2 linked regions of the Oryzias latipes genome follow. The protein of the gene in region 1 interacts with the protein of each later gene in a pairwise test. Links are inferred from orthologs where the notes say so. Each region holds a gene or a part of one and is shown in the gene's direction. Other genes may lie near its edges.

What was found.
Region 2: the proteins of ruvbl2 (region 1) and dpcd interact in binary tests that used the Homo sapiens proteins (3 or more experiments, as listed by UniProt). The two-hybrid records come from large-scale screens. The link is inferred for Oryzias latipes from reciprocal best matches to the Homo sapiens genes RUVBL2 and DPCD.

The regions. Positions count from the first base shown.
Region 1 is NC_019872.2:21,688,470-21,700,011, reverse strand, and holds the start of ruvbl2 (ruvB-like 2), read left to right. Parts: upstream 1-6,380; 5' UTR 6,381-6,490; intron 6,491-7,262; coding exon 7,263-7,317; intron 7,318-7,488; coding exon 7,489-7,544; intron 7,545-7,983; coding exon 7,984-8,125; intron 8,126-8,223; coding exon 8,224-8,353; intron 8,354-8,430; coding exon 8,431-8,497; intron 8,498-8,602; coding exon 8,603-8,709; intron 8,710-8,817; coding exon 8,818-8,911; intron 8,912-10,615; coding exon 10,616-10,834; intron 10,835-10,911; coding exon 10,912-11,030; intron 11,031-11,200; coding exon 11,201-11,320; intron 11,321-11,401; coding exon 11,402-11,531; intron 11,532-11,542. Other genes in the region: tripartite motif-containing protein 16, read left to right, coding at 943-1,518, 1,760-1,855, 2,002-2,235, 2,325-2,484, 2,593-2,649, 2,931-2,999, 3,758-4,284. UniProt on the Homo sapiens protein: Possesses single-stranded DNA-stimulated ATPase and ATP-dependent DNA helicase (5' to 3') activity; hexamerization is thought to be critical for ATP hydrolysis and adjacent subunits in the ring-like structure contribute to the ATPase activity.
Region 2 is NC_019859.2:29,441,782-29,453,276, reverse strand, and holds dpcd (protein DPCD), read left to right. Parts: upstream 1-5,693; 5' UTR 5,694-5,711; coding exon 5,712-5,778; intron 5,779-7,928; exon of another isoform or gene 7,929-7,947; intron 7,948-7,987; coding exon 7,988-8,068; intron 8,069-8,153; coding exon 8,154-8,282; intron 8,283-8,355; coding exon 8,356-8,456; intron 8,457-8,673; coding exon 8,674-8,717; intron 8,718-8,845; coding exon 8,846-8,948; intron 8,949-9,136; coding exon 9,137-9,235; 3' UTR 9,236-9,716; downstream 9,717-11,495. Other genes in the region: poll (DNA polymerase lambda), read right to left, coding at 930-1,285, 1,360-1,528, 2,630-2,758, 3,016-3,189, 3,279-3,620, 3,703-3,820, 4,007-4,452; fibroblast growth factor 8b-like, read right to left, coding at 10,969-11,265, 11,456-11,495. UniProt on the Homo sapiens protein: May play a role in the formation or function of ciliated cells.

The DNA.
Region 1 (11,542 bases):
AGCTTCCCTGGCCCTCCTGTTATCTGGGCTATCAAGTGTAGTTGCATTCCTCTTTCCACCCCAACAGGACTGAAACTCCACTCAGACTGGGAGGTGTGGTCACCGTTCAAAGAATTAGACTTCCAGCTCAAAAGATTCAACTTATTGGAATTTATTTGTGTGTAAAAATGAATTTGTTTTTCAATGTAAACTGTTTTGCTGTTTAATCAGTGTTAACCTGCAAGCAGGGTCGACTTTCAGCAGGATAACGGCAGTGAAAAAAAGTTGGTAATTAACTGGTCTCGGGTGAGATGAAGGTCAAAATCTCTGGAAGTTGACCAGCTAAAAGCAGCTGAAGTTTTAGCTTTACAGCGATAAGTCTTCTGATCAGTGAGTCTGATGAAGTGATACCTCTGTTCTCTGCAATGATAGCTGTATTGTGATTATTTAAAGGACCGAGTATAACGTTGTTAAGCAAGAGGCTAATTTGAGTGGGAATATCTGCTGGGCAGTCGGACAAAGGGGAGTTGGACACACCTGTGATTGCGTCACTGTTTTCTAACTGCTGTATTTGCATTTCTGCCTTTGCCTGGGTTTGTTGTTTATTTTACTCCAAAAAAGAAAATAGTTGTCAGTTTTGCAGATTTAGATACAAAAAGATTCAGAAAGTGTTCATCAAAGCTTTCGTTTTCCATATTCAGAGCCAAACTTTCAGATCTATAGATCTTCAGGTGTACATTTCTTTCATTCCCTGTGCGTTTTGAAAGGGATGGAAGTTGTGTCCTTCCTTGCCCCGCCCTCTTTTTACTGGTTTCGGCTCAACCTGTTTGACCTCCTTCTGTTTACTCTATATAACTTGCACCTGTACTACCAGTAGGATCACTTTGCCACAGTGCTGACACAAGTCCAGGTCCCTCCTCACTGCATCTTCACTGAGTTAGAGGGAACACCTACGTTTTCTCCATGTCTTTTGAGCAAGACGCATGCTTCCTCTGTAAGGAGGACCTCAGGGACCCTGTGTCCATCCCATGTGGACATATCTTCTGCTCCATCTGCCTGAAGACCTACTGGGACCATGCTGACCACACAGGCTCATACCTCTGTCCGCAATGCAAGGTCAATTACAACAAAAGGCCTACGCCAAGACGCATAGGAGGCTCCCGCTATGGAACCCTCAACCGCAACTCCGAGCCCTTTCCGCCACCGCCTCCTTCTCCTGACTACAACTACGCTGGACCCCAGGATGTAGGCTGTGACATCTGCATCGGCAAAAAGCACAAAGCCATCAAGACGTGCCTGATGTGCCTGGCTTCCTACTGTGAAAAGCATCTGAAGCCTCACTTTGAGTCAGCTACCTTCAAGAGGCACAAGCTGGTGGATGAAATCGGCCACTTGGACCGGCAGATCTGTCCGCAGCATCAGAAGGGTCTGGAGCTGTTCTGTCGCACTGACCAGATGTGCATTTGTGTGCTGTGCACGGTGAAGGAGCACAAGGGTCACGACATGGTGTCAGCTGAGCAGGAGAGAGCCGAGGAGCAGGTGGGTGACATTTTAGGAAATGTTTTAAACAAAACACAAAGCTCCAGAATAGTTTCTTGTACTTTATATGGGACTTTTGGGAATGATAGCAGCAGTGTGAAATCTGTGAGAAAGCAGCTAACAATACATTAAACAAAGCTGGTTGTCCTTTGTCTTTCCTGAGTTTAATGAGCTCAAATTTAAACAGACGATACATTATTTGGTCGAACGAGTCGATATATCTATTTTTATTTTATTTTAGCAAAGGCTTGGTGCCACCCAGGCAGAGATCCAGGAGAAGATTCATGACCGTCTGAAGCAGATGGAGGAGCTCAAACAAGCTGTGGACTCACTCAAGGTCTGTGACCCGATCATTCATCCAACAGATAAGAGCCACTGCAAACCAGGAAACAGTCCTTCTTGTAGATGGCAGCTCCTCTAAGTGTTCTGAATCTGCGTGCCTCGCACTTTATATTAGAAAAACCCGTTTTTTTTTCTGTGCAGAACTCAGCCCAGAGAGCGCTGCAGGAATGTGAGAAGATGTTTGGGGACATGATGCGCTCCATCGAGAGGATGCAGCAGGAGATGGCCAAGCTGATATCCACCAACAAGAGAGCGGCACTGAGCAATGCCGAGGGCCACATGGAGCGCCTGAACCATGAGATCGCTGACCTGAAAAGAAGAGACAGTGAGATCACCCAGCTGTCCCGCACTGAAGACCACATCCACTTCATCCAGGTTAGCATGGCACCTGAAACAAGAGGCATGCTCAAACTAACTCCAATAAGTGCATCATCTGTAAAAGTCATGATATTTTTTATTGTCAGACTTACCACATGCTGATAGCCCAGACTGAGGCTGAGGAACTGCCTTCAGTTACTGTCAACCCCTACTTCTCCTTTGGCCCTGTGACCAAGGCCGTGTCTGAGATGAAGCAGCACATGAACGAATTCAGCAATGATGAGCTTGTGAAGGTGGCCAAGACAGGTGAGCGTGGATCACCACCAGAACACTGACTTTATTACTTCTCAAAAGCAGTTATCTCCACAGCCTTAGCCATGCTAACTCCTGTGTGTTTTTTATTTAATTTTACAGTGAACAAAATGAGCTTCTGTGAACTGGATGATGCCAAAAAGAAACGATCAATCAAAGGTAAGTCAAGACAATAATCTAGCATCTCGTTGATGACGATGACAAAGAAGCATGTGGGATCTAAATAAGTGTGGACAAGTTTTAGTGAATGAAGTCAGATCCTTTTCTGAACTCATATTAAGAGTGCTGTAAGAAGAAATACAGTCCTTTCTAGCTACCGGTTATCTTTTCTGAGACAGTTGTGATGACTGTCATTGGTGCACATTGAGCAATTGTTTTCATTTTTTTTCCGTCTACACAATTTTAATTTGAAAATCTGTGTTTTGCATTTGCCCCCACAGCTGAGGAAGCTCCCATGTACAAGTCCATGCCGGTCAGAGAGCCCCAGTACCGGGATGACTTCCTGAGATGTGAGTCTATTTTCTGCAGTGACGTTGCTCTCGTCGCTCAGTTCAGGAAATCTAGACGCTGCTGAGATTCTCTGTCAGACCCTGTGGCTGACCACTAAACCCCAACGCTTTCGAAACATTTCCCATCCTAGAGTGTTGACAGAGACAGGGACAGATGCATCACAAGTATTAAAAGTCGCAGGCACTTGTTCAGGGTTTGTGTTTCCCTTACAGTTGAAACACCTTTTTTCACTTGTTTTAGTAGCTCTAAAAAGCCATTTCCATTCGTTAGTCCTGCTCCAGGAGCATAGAATTTCAACTGAAAACAGACTGTTTGAGGATGGCTCTCACCTTAGACTTGAAAATGTTTGGGGAACAAGTTTGTGGTCAAATTCACAAACACTGTTGATGCTTCTGGCATTCCAGATCATAGGCCAGCCAGAAATAGCCGAGGCTATCGAGTGTCCCATCAACTGTGACCTGCAGAGGCAAAGGTGCACAGCAGGCAGGTGACCCGCTGATCGTTTTGCTTTCTGTGTGTCCAGCCATAGGGTCTCACACCCTTTCTGTGAAGCATGACATTACAAACGTTGGTTAAACTTCTAACAGAGCTAGAAAACTTCATGACGTCCTGCTAACCTTAGGACCCTGTTGTTTCCTGTAGGATGGTGATGGGTGCTTTATCCGCCTCCTAGAATTTCCTCGTTTATGTTTAACTCTAACAATAAATTCTCCCTCCTGCTGGATGAATGTTCACTCTGTCTTCTGTCCCTCTGCAGATGCCTGCCAGCTCACTCTGGATCCAAATACGGCCTACAGACAGCTCTACCTGTCTCGTGGAAACAGGAAGGCCACCCTCAAGAGAGACACGCAGTCCTACAGCGATCACCCCAACAGGTTCGACTCCCTGCCTCAGGTTCTGTGCAAAGAGCCCCTTGCTGGAAATGCTTTTTACTGGGAGGTAGACTGGAGTGGGGAGGGGGCAGCCATAGGAATTGCCTACAAAGGCATCAAGAGGACAGGCTACGGTGACCACGCCCGCATCGGTCACAACCGTAAATCCTGGAGCTTCTTCTGCTCTGACTCCAGTTACTCGGCCCGCCATAGCAAGGACCAAGTTGAGATCAACGCTCCGTACTGCCCCCGCATCGGGATTTTCCTGGACCATGTTGGAGGAACCCTCTCCTTTTACGCTGTGGGGGACACCATGTCTCTCCTCCACACTTTTAAGGCCTCCTTCAGCGAACCTGTTTATCCAGGGTTCTGGGTTTGGTATGAGTCTGCTGTCACCATCGTCCAACTGTGAATACATTACAAATCAATGAGTAGGAAAAATATTAACACAAACTACTTTTCCAAAAAGATTTGATTTATATATATATATATATATTTAGATTTTTTTTCAAAGAGAGATGTAGAATTTTTTTACATGTGTACTAATCAGGGGAAGTGATTTGTGATGAATGTGAATAATCTTTGAATGAATGTAAAGTTTGAAAAGATGAAAACAACTTACTGCAGTTCAAACCTATTTTAGTCATTTTGTATCTGTATTTTATCAATAAACATTTGGTTTCATGCTGTGATTTTTCATCCTTTTATTTAAGTAAAACTTATTTTACCACAACTTTCAGCTTCTTGTCCCTTTTTGCTCACTAACATGAACATCAGGTATAAAAATGTAACATTTAGAACTACTAGACACACCTAGATTTAACATGAAATTGAACCTCGTACGGAAAGGACCTCACACTCATTTGCCTGTTTGGAGGAAGTGCGATCTCGGGGAACATCCTGTTCTGTGGCAAGTCACAGGAATTTACCCCGCCACCACTCCTACACTGTATGACAGAGGCATTGTCTTTTGACAGTTCACAATCAGCAGTGCCTTGATGATAGACTAATTTGTCGTAAAAGGATTTCATAAAAGTAACTCCAATAGTTGGATTTAAGCAAAGATCGACATCTGGACCTAAAACGGCACAAAAGACAAAAGAGCTGCTCCATGAAGTGTTTCCAAAGTCACTCAACCCAACGGACTCTGGTCCGTCTACACAAAAAATGCAATTTGTGAGTGCCTCTCAGCAATTCAAGTGGGTGCTGCTGAACTTGTTTGCCACACCCAACAACTGACGCCTGAAATGAAACAACGATGAGTTTGCTTCATCCTTGTCTCTTTCATTTCAGTCTTGAAGAACCTGTCATTTTCAGCATCCATCTGTTTCCTGAATGAAACATTATGATCTGGAACCCTTCAGCCTTGAGGGTTGAATTTGATGATTTATGGAAAGGATATTAAGACCCCCTCTGTAGCACTTCAGAGGGGTCTGCTCCTTCGAGTTATTTCGTCTAAACATTTTCAACAATTTCTCTGAGGATAAAGAGATTATCCTCAGACTTGGCAAATAAAAAAGGGAGATGCAGTTTTTTTACAAGGTAAATAATAAGAAACAACACCCATTCCTACACTTCATACCTTATGTAGGGGTTGTTTACACTTACTCCCTCTAACTGAAATATCTCTACAAGCATCATTTAGTTTCATGTGGCTTCTGTCATCAATCCTATAACTTTGGTTTATTAGTAGATCTCTTACTATAACTTTGTCTATATGAGGATCCTTGCACAACATTAATCTTGCATCCTCTAGTGGAAAAATCTGTGCAGTGCTGCTGGGCTTTTCTTCAGACTAATCAGGTTTAGTCACATCCTCTGCAAACCAACAGGGTTTCTTTTGGGTCAAAATGGAAAGTTTTTGAAACCTCTTAGTTTCTCTGACCAGTTTTGGTTCAGGAGATCACCTATGGATTATATAAGTCATGATAAAGAGAGAAAATTACCATAAGGACTTCAAGCACACATTATAAAAGCAGTGCATATTAAGGGAGTACATGTTTTTTAATGCATGATCATATTTTTACATTTGTTGGGAAATAAATATATGAATATTTGTGATGTTTTAGGTTTAATTATCTTTTTTTCAAGGTAACAGCATGATAAGTTGTTTAAAATGTGACGTTTTCTTATGCATTTCTTTAAGTTTAAAGTATTTTTTTAAACTACAATTTTAGATTCCTTGGTTTTATTTTGTTCAGATGACTGCAATCCAGGTCTTAAATTATTAGCAACCTGAGTTTATTTTTCTTTCTAATCTTTAATCTGTATTTGAATGCTTAAAATTTCAGTTCTAATAGTTATAGGTATCAAAAATGCCAAAAACATTATTTGTTAGGTAGTAAATTTGACACACAGAAAGATAATTTCGAAGTATTTAAGTATTTTCAGGTTATCATTATCGTGACGATCAAGACAAAAACGTAGCTTTCATCTCAAAAACAAATCCGGGCTTTTACGCCAGATTTGTAATTCACATTTGAGTCTATAGAGGGCAGTCCCAATAAACTCTAGTAGCGGAACTGAACGGCTTCGCATGTTTCTTGTCGGACACATTTAACCAGTACTCCCTGAGAAAGAAGCGGCGCTTCTCACGTTTTTTAAGTGTGGCTGCGGAGGTGAGTCCTGAGTTTGTAGTAGATGTTAAAATCAATTTGGACTTTAATATTTTCACCCAAGTAGTATAGCCAATTTATTTTTAAGTACTTCCGCGTGTCATGCAGGCTTTTATTACCCGGCTAATATGGCGTGTGCTGTTGTTTTGCGTTATGAACGGTGTGAATGATGCTAGCTTGTTTGCTAATATCGTTAGCTGATGTTACCTGTCGATTTTCTCCCCCCGTATTCATATTAGAAAATAAACTAATTTCAGTGAAGTGTCAATTTTTCTAAACCTGATTTACTAATACTTTCCTTCCTAGATATGTTTCACAAATATGCGTATATATATTTTAAAATGTCAAAGAGTGTTGACTAAGCTTTGCTGTTGTGTTGTGTGTGGTCATTCATTGCTGTCACTATGACAACGGACAGGACAAGTGGAGCATAAAAGGAATTCCACATTTATATTGCTTTGACAAAGTCTATGTGGAAAACACTAAAACATTGGTGAATGGAGGATGCAAATTTTAACTCTCTTTGGAAACGATAAACATCCAAAAGTGTCATCGATATTTGAACACACACATAAGGAATTCTTGCTGTTCTTTTTCATAAGCAGGATTTTTAAACAAACAATAAAAAATGCTCTTAAGATTTAGTCAAAGATCAACGAAGGCCTAAACTCCTCTGAAAATATTTGTTCTTTTGTTTACGATGAGGCAAATTGTTTTAAAAATGTTTCTTTGCATTTTTTTGTTTTCTTCTTGTCATTGATGTATTATTCTACAGATGGCAACTACAAAAGTGCCAGAGGTTCGGGACATTACACGGATTGAAAGAATAGGTAAGACCCCATGCAGATTTTCAACACTTTAGAAATAAATGGTAAGCTTAAATTGAATGGTAAACTTTAGAACATGCCTTATCTCTACATGAGCTGTGTGTATTTATTTTTGCTATGATTTCCCGTATGTTTGTAATATTTTGTGTAATAGTTTCATCTTTGTGTGGTTAGGGGCCCACTCTCACATTCGGGGCCTTGGTTTGGACGATGCTTTGGAGCCCAGACAGGTAACGTGCAGCACTTCTGTTTGTTGATCTCTGTTTTGACCCAAGACTTCAGTAGTTTTAGGTGTTTGTAGTTTTGATAAAATTATGGCTTTTTTTTGTAATTCATGTCCTTTAAAAAGGCAAAAACTTAACAGAGGAAAACATATTTGGATATTTTTAAACTGCTGTTAAACTTGAGAGGTTAAAATGTTTCGAATGTACCTTTTAATGTTTTGTTGTGTGTGGAAACAACATGAAGCAGTATAGAGGTAGTCAAGTAGCAAAGCGAGACTTGATTCTAAAGCCCTGTTGTCAGCACTAAACCCACATGTTGTGATTCCAACAGGAAAGTCTTTTAGCAGCTTGTTTAAAGCATTCAAAATGTCCCTTAAGTCAAAGGATAAAATCCGAATGAGGCATATTTGCTGCTGAACGAGTTGAGTTCCCTGTTCACCTGCAGGTGTCACAGGGGATGGTCGGCCAGCTGGCCTCCCGTCGAGCAGCAGGGATAATCCTGGAGATGATCAAAGACGGACACATCGCCGGCAGGGCCGTTCTGATTGCTGGCCAGCCGGGCACGGGGAAGACGGCTATTGCTATGGGTGAGCATGGGACCAGAAATGATGCATACAAGTTTCCACCTGAGGCAAAGTTCTGTTGGCTATTTGAGGCTTGTTGCATGTTTTTCTTTCATCTACAGGTATTGCTCAGTCTTTGGGCCCTGACACCCCCTTTACAGCTCTGGCTGGAAGTGAGATCTTTTCCCTGGAAATGAGCAAAACTGAAGCACTGAGCCAAGCTTTTAGAAAAGCTATAGGAGTGAGAATCAAGTAAGTATATAAACAAGGTTTAGGTTGTTTTTTTTGGATAGAAATTAAGTCCGCTCTCTTCCCCCCCATAAATCCAGAGAGGAGACAGAAATCATTGAAGGGGAGGTGGTAGAAATCCAGATTGACAGACCCGCCACTGGAACAGTAAGATCCTTTCACTTCATAAACAGTCTTTCCATACCATAGCTTTAGAAAACGTTGATTTATTTAGCTGATTCGCCTCATGTTGAGCTGGTTTGCTTTAATCAGGGTGCAAAGGTGGGGAAGCTGACTCTGAAGACTACAGAGATGGAGACAATATATGACTTGGGGAACAAGATGATTGAAAGCCTCAGTAAAGAGAAAGTTCAAGCCGGGTGAGTTCATCTTCTCCTCATAAAGCAATATAAAGGTTTGGGTTTTGTTTTTTTCTCAGTCCTATCTAAATGGAGCTTTTCTTGTTTGTCTTTAAACACACTTTTTAGTGATGTTATTACCATTGACAAAGCCACCGGGAAAATCTCCAAGTTGGGGCGCTCCTTCACTAGAGCCAGAGACTACGACGCCATGGGAGCCCAGGTAAGATCTCTGCATGGGACAGTTGAATACCATACTTTGAATTTGGGTTATAGTCAAATACAAAGTCCACCTGAAGCCTCTGTAAGTGTTATCACTTGAAGATTATAATGAATACTATGATTTCAGGGTTCCCTTGCTATATCACAGTTCACCTTTCGCTTTCTTTTACTGCAATTCTGCACGTTTTTTTTTTCTTTTTACAGCACTGTGTTGTGCGTCCTGATTGGCTGTTGACCTTGTCAATTAATCCCCTCTCTGTTCTTTACACAATGTGCTCATCTTACCAGAGTTACATCAATCTTTTGTCACAATCAGATCTTTGTTTTCATTCTATAAAACAGAACTTTGAGAGTTTAAACAAGAGAGACAAGTGTGAAAATGTTCATGTTTGTCTGAGAAAAGTGTAAAAAGTGTGTAGTGAGGAGGTTTACGGCCTTGAAACATCTGTAATCCTACTTCACGGATTTCACCTATCGTGGGTTATTTTTAGAACGTAACCCCAGCGGTAAATGAGGGAACACTGTACTTGAAAATGTAACTTCAGAACTGGTTAATCTCAAAATCTTGGGTTATGATGACATTGATTTGCATAAAACTTATCTGAATATTGTTTATCCCGAGAATCCTTTCTGCTCAAATGAAAAAGTGTCTCAAATAATGAAGACTTGAAATGAAAAAAAAAAACGTGGATTCTGTCATTTAAGCTTTAAGTTTCACTCTGTCAAATGAACCACAAATGAGTAATATATAATAAAAAATAAAAAGATTTAATGGACCACAAACTTGGTCAGTAGCAGATGTTTGTCTTTGCAAACAGCAATGACTGCAACTCAAAGAAGGACACTAAACAAAATCTGACAGCAGACACGGCGTAATAAGGTGGAGGGATGGAACACAGGGAGCAGTGACGTCTTGTTCTGCAAAAGCAGGTGGGGTTGAAGCTGTGACATAGTTTCCAATGCAGGAGTTCATTAGACATTTGCCTCTGATTTGTCGGCGCGAAACAACCTTCCCGTCCCTGTTGCTGAGAGCTCTGTTTTTACACTCTCCCACTAGCTTACAGCCCCTCACAACCCCAACCTAACATTACTGCTGCCACAAAAATGGCGAGCAATGTTAGTTCTATCCAGCCGTACAGTTTAGATCCAGATTCCAGCTCAGACGAGGAAAACAAAGACATTCATGGATCTCTTTGTCTGCAGGCGGATGCATCAGAATGGAGCGGAGCAGGGAGCCTGTAACTGCCGATTGTAGTTTCTACGTCATAAATGGGAACATTTTCAAACAGGATCTGCTCCTGGTTCACAACAATTTGAATAAAGAAATAGTCAGAATTGTAATTTTCTTGATAAGTTTCCTCCATCAAGAGAAAAATCTCCCAAGAACAAAATAAAAAACAAAAAAAACAGGGTTTTCATTAGAGTGGATCTTCAAATATGTTTAGGGGATGCACTTAAATTTCAAAATTCACTAAATGCGGTTTCATTACGAGAATGGTATTTGTTTTATATTTGTTGTTGGTGTTGATATTCCAGCCAGTTTTGCGTTTTACTGACACTAATTTGAAAAAACAAAACAAAAACTAAAGAATTTAATCAATTACAATTGAGGGTAAAAGATGATCTAGTGATTTTCTCTTGAGAACCGTCAGCTGATCCTTAAACCGCATCAGCTGTAACTGCTGTCCATTTCCTCTGCTTGCAGACTCAGTTTGTCCAGTGTCCTGAAGGAGAGCTGCAGAAGAGGAAGGAGGTGGTGCACACAGTGTCCCTCCATGAGATCGACGTCATCAACAGCCGCACACAAGGCTTCCTGGCTCTGTTCTCCGGAGACACCGGAGAAATCAAGTCGGAAGTCCGAGAGCAGATCAATGCCAAAGTGTGTGAGTGGAGGGAAGAAGGCAAGGCGGAGATCATTCCAGGGGTACGCCGCCGCCTGCATTTTGGGATCCTTTTTGTGTTTGGTTGAGGGTAACTGTGTGTGCATGCGTGCGGCTCCAGGTGTTATTTATTGACGAGGTGCATATGCTGGACATGGAGTGCTTCTCCTTCCTGAACCGAGCCCTGGAGAGCGACCTGTCTCCAGTCCTCATCATGGCCACCAACAGAGGCATCACTCGGTACTGTTCATGCTGCTGATTCACTTCAGCTGTTTCCTTTGATGTGTATGGCTTACGCGTCCTTCAAAACTAATGCTCTAAAATTTAAAAGTTGTTTTATAATCTTTGATTTTTTTTTTCTCCCCCCCACAAAAACATTCTTTGTTTTATTTTCGTACGTTTTCCCACAGAATTCGTGGCACAAACTATCAGAGTCCTCACGGCATCCCCATTGACCTCCTGGACCGGCTGCTCATCATCGCCACGTCCCCGTACACCGAAAAAGAGACCAGGCAGATCCTCAAGATCAGGTGGGAGCGCGGGTTTGCTTCCCGCCACCGAACCCTGCTCCTGTTTTCAGCATCACTCACATCCACTTCCCGGTGTTTCAGGTGTGAGGAGGAGGATGTGGAGCTAAGTGAGGAAGCGCACACGGTGCTCACTCGAATCGGCATGGAGACGTCGCTGCGTTACGCCATCCAGCTGATCAGCACTGCAGGGCTGGTGTGTCGCAAGCGCAAAGTAAGCTCCAC
Region 2 (11,495 bases), on another chromosome or scaffold:
AACCTCTGGTCAGCCGGACTCCAAAATGTTCATGTAGAAGACGTTTGACTGCACAGCCAGTCCACCTACAGATCTACTTGACTTTCCGTCTATCTCATAATAAATGGTTATTTAGCGTTTTACTGCCTTCTTAGAAGGTCCAACGCACTTCACCGTCTCAGTGCCATTCACCCACACAATCGATGGAGTGATGTGGGGTTCAGTGTCCTGCCTAAGAACTCTTTGACACATGGGCGTGCAGAGCGGGAACCGAACCCACAACCTTCCAATCAGAGGTTGACCACTCTACCTCTCCACCATGACCCACATTATTTAATTAAAATAATACTTTGTAGATCAAACACTCTACGGAAACACTTCAACTTCCTGGCAGCATCCCCGTTGATCCTTTAAAATCCTCCTGCCACGTTTGCAGCCAACTTTTGTCCAGAAATAAGTAAATTAATTCCAGAATTGAGTTTAAGCAGGAGGGGCGCACTGACAGTTGTTTGCTCCTTCCATCTCCACGACCATCAGAAGACTGCAATTGGGCCGGGACAAAATAAAGTTTAAAACTGTTAGGTGTACCAACCTAACCACTTTTGCTTCCCCCACCACCCCAAAGACTTTTCATAATATTGGAAAAAAAAAGTCATAAACATCAAAAAGGTTTTCGATACACTGCTGAATGCTTTTATTTTTGGTGTGAAATCTGACCTTTTAACATGGAAGTCGATGGGAAATTACTCCTGTCCGTGACCAACATCAAGTGGTATTTTGAGGAACTGCAACATCTGATACTTCCTTGTTTTACTTCCAATTTGGAAAGTGTACTTTGAGGTTTAAATGAGCTCCTCCTAATATTCTGTAAAATTATTAAAGAATTGAAAGCCATGATATAAAGTATTTGCGAAGGATCACAGTTTGGGGTGTATTTTCCCTTGGAATAATCACCAATCCCTTTCATGCGGCTCTCTGTATGGTATCCCCAGAAGACTAAAAACATCCTTCTCTGTCTGTGTGGGAACTGGACTTCCAGCGCAGACTTTAGAGGTGCCCTGGCGGACCACGTCTTTGTTCAGGGAATGCTCCGACAAGCTCATGCCTTTTGTTTTTGCCAGGGCTCTCATCGAGCGGTTAAAGTGTGCGGATCCGGTGAAATACAGAAGTGCGCAGGCAAACTCGTCGTAAGGCACTATGATGATGTCCAACCTGCGATGACGGTGGCCCGGCAACCGGCACACACCCATGTATTTTTTCTGCTCTCCATTCTCCTCGTGGCTCACCAAATCGTCTGTCAAAAACCCTAAAATGGCAAAACTTTGTCACCCTCTCCTACATGAAAATCCAATAACATTGCTTACAAATGAATAAGATTACCATCATCATGGAGGATTTGTAACACTTTGCTGAAGACGCCTCTGTGGGACTTGCCATCAGGGTGAGTGATGAGTACGTCCACGTCTCCACAAGTCGCCTTTCCCCGACGGTAGGAACCACAGGCGACGGCCACGAGTCCCGGATCCAAGGTTCTCACAGCTTCCCTCACCTGCACAGAAGAAGCCGTTGCATGACTAAAGTTCTGGGCCTTTTAAAAACTTGACCACAATTAAAAAGATTTTCCGATGCTTTCTAAACCAATGTTCTATTCCCAACCTAACATGGACAAGGTAAATGTTTAAACGGAGGAATCTGACTTTGATGAATTAAATGAGCTCATTTCAAATGTAAGGCTGCTGCAGGTTTCATAGTGAAATCGGGGCAAGAAATGACCAAAGAAGCAGGAAATGAAAGAATTGGGCTTGGAGAACTTCTCAAGTAATGACGTTGATTGATGTCAGGTCTGCTACATGATCATCTTTACTGGGTTTTCTTATAGAGACAAAGGAAAAAAGAAGCCCTTTGATAAACATACAAAGATTGAGAATTTTTTTTCCAAAAATGTTCCTCAACCTAAAAGTACAAGGACTTTCTCCAGAGCAGAATATCATAAACATTTCCAGAGAAATCTGTGCATCAGGAGCAAAGTCTTCATCCCTGATGGGCATGATGATTGGGTCACTGACATTCCTGAAAACTCCAGGAATCTTCCAGAGATGTTTGTGAGTAGACTCCAGCCCTCTGGTTTCTTCAGGGCTGAAAAGTGAAAGTTTCTTTACGTGAAAAAAGAGACCCTTTCCTTTTGCAGTCTTCCTCTGGTGCCCCCCACCAGCAAATGCTTAACTTTTCCCCCTTAAATATGGAGGCATCCTTGCAAAGCACATTATTTCGCAGACCAAGGACACACACATGCTTTTGTCATCTTCTTCGCGTCTAATCTCTCACTGGCAGCTTTGATGGAAAGTGAAAATCCCGGTCAGCAGCTCTTTGACAGAGAAACCAGCAGTTATCTGGCCAACTTAAGAGCAGTCCAGGTTTGGAGTTTCCTTTTCCCCTTTGGGACGCTGCTCTCTGTTTTTTACATCATCGTGCAGCAAAGCTACAGCAAACATTTTCCAACCTCAGGGCTTCAATTCACAAATGGCTGATGGTTCAAAGGAGGATCCCATCACCTGCATAGGAATGCAGCCTAACATTTGTAGGAGTCAATGTTTCAGTCATCATCACAGAACAAAGCAAGCATTTGATGGGTCAAATGAAGATTTATTACCACTTTTTCGATAGCTGCTGCCTCCTCTCTGGGCATTCGCTCTAGAAAGTCATTGTAGTGCTTCAGGCCAATTTTCTGAGTAGCGCTCAGGCGAGCTTTGGTGCGGATGTCCTCCAGGGTGCGAAATCCCTGACAGCAAAAAAGACACTAAATTCCTCTGGAGACTGCTGGTATTCAACAAGAAAACTTAATGACAAAAAACTCAGTTTCTCTGAGTTAAAAAAAAACATTTCACGAGTCTTTAAAACAAACAAAAACAACAGCTAAATATCCTGTTTCCCAGCTGGAACTGGAGCAGCTCCATAAATCCCAAAGTTTGGGATGAAACCACCTCCGTTAGTATTACAGAGGAATGACATGGCAGAGGCCGTAGGCTGTGTTTTCACCTGTTGGTACCACAGCTGTGCAGTCTTGGCTCCTGCCCCCCAAATGTTGGTGAAAAGCTCCAACACTGGCACGGCCTCCCCGATGTGATCCAGCTTACGCAAGTGGCCGCTCTCCATTATTTCATCGATCTTGTCGGCCATGCGCTTTCCAATTCCCGGGATCTGGCATGCTTCCTAGAGAAAGTGATTTGAAATGAGAAAACGAGAGAGTTGATTACATGCTAAAAACCAGTGGAACCAGCAGCTCTTAAAGCAAGCTCTACCTGATATGAAGTCACTGGCTTGTGGTAGCTTTTCAGTGCATTGACAGCCTTGGAGTACCCCAAAGCCCTCCACTTGTCCCCCTGATGTGTGTAGGCCTTAGCCAGTAACTCCAGCTTGTCTGTGATGTGCTTATTAAAGTTATTAGTCTTAGACTTGGAAGACTGAGCACAGACCCACTTCCCTGGGACCGTTTTCTCCACGACAGCCTCTGGATCAGGGTTTCCACTTGCGCCTGGGCTCTCTTCTTCGGGGTGCTGACCAGTGATTAGAGCTACAAGGTCGCTCTGGGAGACGCAGTCTTCCTCCCCACCCACCTCCTCTTTAGTGTCTGGGATTGTCTGCTAGAAAGGTGTTAAGATAAATCGTGATGAAAAGCTTATCTTTGACAGGTTCATCTGAGAATGCTGTGACCTGGAAACAGACCGTGAGTGCAGCTTCCTCCTGCTTGGTTTGAAGAGTCTCTGGATCTGGGAAGTTTTCTGCAATCGATTTGAAATCCGCTTGTTTTTCACTCACACTTTCCAGCTTTGATTCTGAGCTCCTGGGTGGACAATATATTTAAAAGATGTAAAGCATATACCAATATGTCATTTATGTATGAAATCATGTGTTTTGATATGCATGAAAGAAACATCTTGAACTATGAACACTAGAGGTTTAAAAGAATACAGAAAAAACCTGATCTGAGACAAAAACTCCAAAAGAAAATGTAAAGATGACCATGAACCTCTTGGGTAAAAGAAGGCTGTATCCATCCATATCCAGGAGTTGAAGGCTGTATCCATCCATATCCAGGAGTTTCCGCTCACTAATGCACATGCTCAGCCAGCTGCATTTCACCAGATGAACACCAGAGGGCAGGCCATCCACTTTCAGCAATCGCAGAACCCTGTCTCCATCCATGCTGTCATCCACCACAACATGAGTGACAGCAGCACACAATGAACTCTCCAACTGTCCTCCCATCTGCTGAATTTGTCTCTGGAATATCTGGCACCTCGCATTTCCAATCCCAGCAGGCAGAAGGTACACTGTCAGTCTGCTAAAAGGGTTTCCCCCCTTAACCTCTATTTCGTCAGGTTTCTTCTTCATCGGAGGGGCATCCTGTCCCTGTAGCACTTTGGCTCTTTTAACTTTGGGGAAAGCCTTCATGATCCCATGACGGGGCTCCATCTCTCCATCTGAGAAGAGGAACGGCTGGCCTGCACACAGACCAGAAGACTACATGAGCCAAAGATAAATAAACGGGTTGGTTTCTCATCAAGCAACCTTTGAACACTAAATTCCAAATACAGAAAAGGGAGAATTTAGATGGACGGGAACATGTTTTTCTGGCACAGACTGTGTCTGTGGCAAGTAACTGGGCGGAGGTAAAGGGCTGTAATATGGAGTTAGAATAAATATATCAGCGTAATAGCAAATGAGCTGGAAGGTCTGCGTAAAGCATTGTCCTTCCAAATAATCCAGAGATTTTTGAGTTTTTAGAGAAATTCACTTCACATCCTGTTTATGTTCATTTGAGAGCAAAGCCAGAAAAAAAAATGTTTTGCGAGTTTTTTAGTTGGTGAAAACGTAAAAGTAGAACTTTATTTTAGGACTCAACATACTGGAACAACAAAGACGAGGTTTGTCATTTCAAGAAGCACAATAATAGAATTAAAACTCGGTTTGAAAAAATAGTATTTCTAAAGAGGAAAAATCAAATTAAAGTACAAAAGAAAAGGATAAACTTGCTAAATTACAGTATAAAAGAAGTTAATATCTTGCATGCAGACAAATAAAACATAAAAAGACGATCATTGAAGTTAAAATTGATTGAAAAGTAAGGGAGGATAGCATTTTTCTCTCTTTTAGACAAGATTCAGGGCCTGGCACAACATACTATTCTTTAAACAGGTTAATTTTCTGAATTGTATTATAGTGTTTCCTTTAAAACCGTAATTAATATTTTTGTAAATATCCAGTCACAATGGTGAAGGACTATATAAGGCCAACAATATTCCTCCGCTTGTTGTAAATGGCTAGCTGCTCATTCACACCGAATGACGATGAAAACAGAAAACAGTTTTAATTTGATCCCTTTCTGTTTTATCTGCAGTTTGATGCAAATTGAAATATTTCTACATTTTGAAATAAAACCGAACATTTGTTGCTTAAAACAACTGTACTATAAAATATTAGCTCTTACCCTGTTACAAACACAGGTGACCTGAAGCGGAAGTTGTTCCTTCTATGAATGCTTCATTTCCGGGTTGAGGTCACAAAAATAATGCGTTTTAATTTATTTGTATTTCACTAATAATGTTAATTATTATCTTATATTTCATATAAGACAATACTAAGAAATAGTTTTATCGTTCAAAATTAACTACACAATAACATTTTCGCGCCACTTGTTTCCGTGGTAACCGCCTGAGAGACGGAAGTGTAAAATGGCAGAGCTGCAAAGCTGGACCGAAGTTTTGAAGTCATCGAGAAAAACGGCGCTCATACAGGGTGGTAAGTTAAAAAAGATACAATACTCTTTAAATAAATAAAAACATTTTAAAATGTATTAACCTGACGTAATTACCTTTCCTAAAGTTGGACTTCACTTCATAGCTAATCATGTTGCTAGGCAACAAGCTAGCTGTCCCTACAGTTCCATCTACGTTAATACCAGAATCTCGAAAAGACAGACTCGAGCAGATGCGTTCGTATTTACAAAATACTAACAGTAACAGTACTTTAGATATTCTATGTGACGCTCCACGTTACTTAAGAAACTCCGAATCTATGAAAATAGCAACAACAAGCTAGAAAATAATATCATGAGAAAAACAAGTCACAGCAGCTCAAGTGTCAGTGAATCCTGAGCCTCATACCACTCAACCTGACCATGAAGATGCTCCTGTTTGCTAATAATGCTTTTTGTTCACAAGAACATTAAAGCTCTTTCAGACGGCGATTTAAATGAGACATCAAAAAACATCTTTCGACCCAAGTTAGTATTGTTTAGTTTGATTATAAACCCAAACTGCATTTTTTATTAACAGACCGAAAGCAAATCTACGATTAGTAATTAAATGGGAGGAGTTTGAAAGGGCAGTATTTGGACAACAGATGCGCTGATTGGATGGGGACCCAAATCTAAAGTATTTGTACCAAACAATGAAAGTGCATTTTAATTCTGAACCCACACAAGTTCTGATCAGATATCCGTCTGTGCCATAGACCATTCCACTGTTTTCACAGGCTTTTATTGTTGCAAAGGTCTAGGGCAAATACTAAACACGTTTCTTCAAAATTCCTTTATGTTACATACAGCTGGCATGAATCAGAAATTCATGTGTCCTTTTTTACTGCACTTATACAGATAAACTATGTATTTTAATTATATACACTGTGTGTGTTTTGCCTTCTAATATTTTTATTTTAGGGTGGTAATGATGAAGATTCTTACCTTGCATTTATCTGCTAATTCAACCTAAAAGTAGAAGAGTTTCTTTTTTTTTTATTGGCAAATGCCTCTCCCCACTTATTGTTTAGAGCAGTGTTTTTCAACCTTTTTTGAGACACGGCACACTTTAACCTTGAAAAAGATCCCGCGGCACACCAGCATCCAAAAAAATAGATAAAAAAAAAAAATAAAAAAATAAGCTCATAGTCTGTATTGATCTACAGCCGCTCTGCAATCTCACATGCATTTTTGTGATAATTGTTGCATAAAAAGCTGGAAGCTGCAGCTGTTTTTTTCTAAAAGATGTATTAAAAATTTAGTCAAAAGATTCAAAAACTGTTTGATGTGTGTTCGTTGTTTTAAGACGTTAAGAGGAGAGACTCATTGTGCGCTAAGACAGTCACTATACTGCATCATGGGAGATGTAGTGCCGATAATGCGCCGACCGCAGAAAGACCAGCGTCTTTGAGCTTCATTGTTTTGTTCACTTGTTCCACAGTCTGATACCAGATTCTGTGGAAAGCTACACCGCTAAAGACGAGCTTTAGCTGGTATTTTTCTTAGAACAGAGAGACTTTTTTGCGCTAAATCGAAACAAGGAAGCGAAGACTTTAACCACTTCTGATTGGTCATACTGATGACATGTGATTAAGCCTTCAAGAATGATTGGTGGAGACAGTTAAAGGGGCGGGACTTTTCCTTACACAGTTATAGCTGCAGCTAACGGTATCCCGTTATTCTTATCAAAATGTCTTTAAAAGAATCATATAAACACAAAGAAAAAATAATTTTATGATATTTCATATTTTTAACTTCTATGTGTTTTACCAGGGCCTGTTTGGATGAACAAAGAGCTGATTTCCTGGAGATGTTAAATGTTTTTAGATCAGTTAATGAGGGCAATTTCTCACGGCACACTTGACCATCTCCCACAAAAACACTGGTTTAGAGCAAATGCTTAAACAAGTTTCAGCTTCAAGTGATGAATAAAATTTTGTTGTGACTGCATGTAAATATTTAGGCCCCAATGGTTTTCATCGGTGTTCAAAAACAAACAAAAATCAAATGTAAATCAGTTTTTCGTGGTGGTCAGTTAAACAGCGGGGGGGGGGGGGCCGCAGTTGTAGTGGGTTTCTACCCGGACATCTCCGTCCCTGCTCGACACTTTCTGATTATTTTTGTTGAAAGAGATAAATAAACATAACATAACCTCACAGCTTGAGATTTTTATTTAGTATTTCTCGTGAACACTTTTGATTCTACCTGCAGGTAAGCGGAAGATCCACTATCTCTTCTCTGATGGGAAAGAGATGGCAGAAGAATACGACTTGAAGACAGACGAACTTATTAGTGAGGATCAAATGTAGCTTTTCTGCAGCATGAAGGTACTGGCGCCGGCGGTAGAGTCAGGATGAGTCTTCTGAATGTGTTTCAGTGCGGAAATGGCGCCATAAAAGCCCACTGGGAGCTCAAAGCCCCTGGCAGGTGGAGGTTGGGGAGCCGCTGGTCAACACCCCGGGATCTCAGGACTCGGACATAATCAGAGAGAGCTGCTCCAATGTGGGTTTTTTTTTTTTTCTGCTTTTATGTTGACCTGACCTCAGCTTAGTAATGATTGGGTTTGCAGAGCTCAGCAGCGTTTTCTCTGGTTTCCACAGCCTGTTTTCAGTGGAGAATCCGGAACCTCGCCTACCAGAAAGATGTCTTCAGTGTTTTTGTGGAGCCGTCTGAAAGATGTGTCGTCATCTTCTTCCTCTTTCGGCTTCTCCCATCAGGGGTCGCCACAGCGAACAAGTCGCATGGTAAACTTGGCAATGTTTTACGCCGGATGCCCTTCCTGACGCAACCTTCTCAAACCGGGCTTGGAACCGGCACAGGGGTAGAGAAGGGAACAGGGAGCAGCCCGGAGTCGAACCCTGGTTTCACGGACGGAAGGCGCCGCAAACCAGCACGAGCTAAACCGGCTCCCATGTGTCGTCATAAAGACCTCAAACAAAAAGTACCTTCCTGCGCTGCACACTTGTTGCATGCAATGTTCAGACTCTCCCTATAGATGGCGCTGTAGACAAACCATCCGCGTTGCTGCCGGCGCACCGTGCGTTTGTAATCCTGCATGTGTCTTTGCAGGTATTTTAAAAAGTTCTGTATTCCTGATCTTGATCGATGTTGTCTGCCTCTGGAGAGCGCCGCCCTCAGCTTCACACACGCCAACAACACGCTGATCGTCAGTGTGAGTTTCTCACACTTTGCTTTTTAATCTGGAAAAAAAACCATCCAGTCTCCTTTTTTTTAGACTGATGTCCTTCCAACCAGAGCTTTTGCCTGATGTTGAATGTGTCACATTTTCTCTGTGTTTCACGGATTGTTTTGAAGCCGCCAGAGATGTATGATAATGAGAAATGTCTTCTTCTTTTCCAGTACAAGAAGCCAAAAGAGATCCTAACGGGGGAGCAGGAACTGCTGAAGGAGCTGAAGGAGCTGAGGGGGACGACTGAGGGGGACTGCAAAGCCCAGTGAGCTCTGGCTGAGAGCGGGGGCTGCATTCACAGCCTCACAGCCTCATTTCCTCCAGAGCTTTTGTTCACACGCCTGCAGAAACCACCTCAAGTTTTCCCCCCGCTTCTGTTTTGATTGCAATCTGGACATTAACAGCAAAATACCTCCATGTTCCTAAATGTACGAGTTTCAGAACTTGTCCGAAAGTGAAATCCCACATCTTTACATTTTCCAAACAAAGCATTTTGATCCCTCCAAGGATGTTCACACGTTTTGTTCTCTTGTACCTGATGGTTTGAAATTTGCATTTGGTTGATTCTGATTCCCAGAAACGCGGAGCTGACAGCTGACAGCAGACGTCTGAGGCACCTTTGCCCAGCAGTTTGCATCCTGGCATGTTTGCAGCATGAAGAAACAGGCTGCACTTTTGTTTACTGTCTGATTCAGTTCAAAGAAAAACCTGAAGGCAGCCTGAAGAGGGCCTTCGAGTGAGACTCTTGGATTTAAGTACAGCTTATGATTCCTAGCATTTTTTTCTGCTTGTCCAAACCCAGAAAGCAAGTGCCGCTCGCGGAGACCAAACCACAGGTCATTGTGCTTTGTCTTTCTGCAGATGCAAGACAAACACATTTGAGGCACTCTGTGCTCCCGTATGTCCAGATTATTTGGAGGGATGTGATGTTTTCTTCTACCAGGAAGATGAAATCTGTCGTTTTTTGACTGCAGCAGACGGGCAGGCAGGGAGCGGCTGCGCTCCGGATCGTCCTCCTCCCCTGTCGTTTGGCCTCCGACGGTCATGCTCAGCTGCTTCTGGGAAGAGGGCTTCTTTTCTGCCTCCCTTTCATTCCCGAATGCCTCTTCCCAGCCATTCCCCCTCTTTCAGTCGATGCCACATTTTGCCACACAGACCCCGGTGCTTTCTCTGCAAGCTGTAACCCCCCCCCGTCGCCCCTCCCTGTGTGACTGGCTTCTTTTTGATAACTGACCCCTCCTCGTGTTATTATTCGAACCCACTATTGTATAACATGCCCTTTTATATGAGGTTCCACAAAGGGCTCATTTGATCTGAGGGTTACGGTGTGCGATCGTGAGAAATGCAACTACATGGTGGTAACTTTTGTCTGAGCCGAAATGGTGGGCTGACCTCATCGCTTTTAATGCATAGCTCGGGCCATTCAGGCCCGGGTCTCACTTGCTGAGCACATTGAATTCAGCAGCCTGTCACAGATATTGCCCCTCAGTTATCTGGGTCTTCAGTGCGAAGAAGACCAGGAGAAAAAAAAAGAAGGTATTTTTTAGGAGGGGGTGACTTTCCAAAACACCAGAGCTCGGCCTGGACCTTTTCTTTAGTGGTTTTAATATACACTCTACAATAAATATTTGATTTACATTTTTACAGTAAAAATATATTCATATATGTAGAAAAGAACAGGTTACGTGTCCCACAGGTGAGGCGGGACTCAGATGCTGGAAGCCCAGATAGCTGCCACGTCTACTTCCCTCCTTTCAAACATTCTCTGATGCAGTTTTCTGCCCCCAAACTCTCATCCAGGACAGTTTTGTTGAGGAGACCCCCCCCCCCCCCATGATCATCTGAATTGGAAATAACTAGCAGATTAGATAGTTTATCTACAATTCAGTACCAAGAATTACTCAGTAAATCCACAAACGAGGCCTTCGGGCACTTAGGCGTACATGCAGGTTTCCCTCCAGTCTGGAGCTGTCGGCGGCGCCTCTGCTGTGCCGCTTGTCCCTCAGCGACCCTCCGAGCGCAGCTGATGGGAGTGCTTAGTCCGCTTGCTGAAAGGCTGAACGGGGACGGGCAGAGGAAGCGTATCAAACGGCCTCCTTTCACTCAGCAGGTGCCCCCTCGGGAGGCGCTTCATGAAGTGGGCCTCCCTCTGGTGCTGCTTGGTCTTGGAGGCCTTCCTTGGGCGGCCCTTGCGCGTGAAAGCCATGTACCAGCCCTCGTACTTGGCGTTCTGGAGTGCCGTGTAGTTGTTCTCCAGAACAATCTCGGTGAAGATGCAGTCTTTGCCTCGTCCTTTCCTCTGCAGAGAGGACAAAAGCAGGGGGAGGGAGGGGGGCTCAGATGTTTCCGAAAAACACCACTCTTTTATTCAGACAATCAAATGTTCAGGGAAGCCTTCAGAGGTGCTGCGAAAATTCCCCAAATCTAATGTTGGTGTCTGACAAGCTCAGCGGATCTGGAATGTCAACAAACGTCAAAATTCCGATTACCTTTCCAATCAGCTTCCCTTTCCTGTTCATGCATATGTAG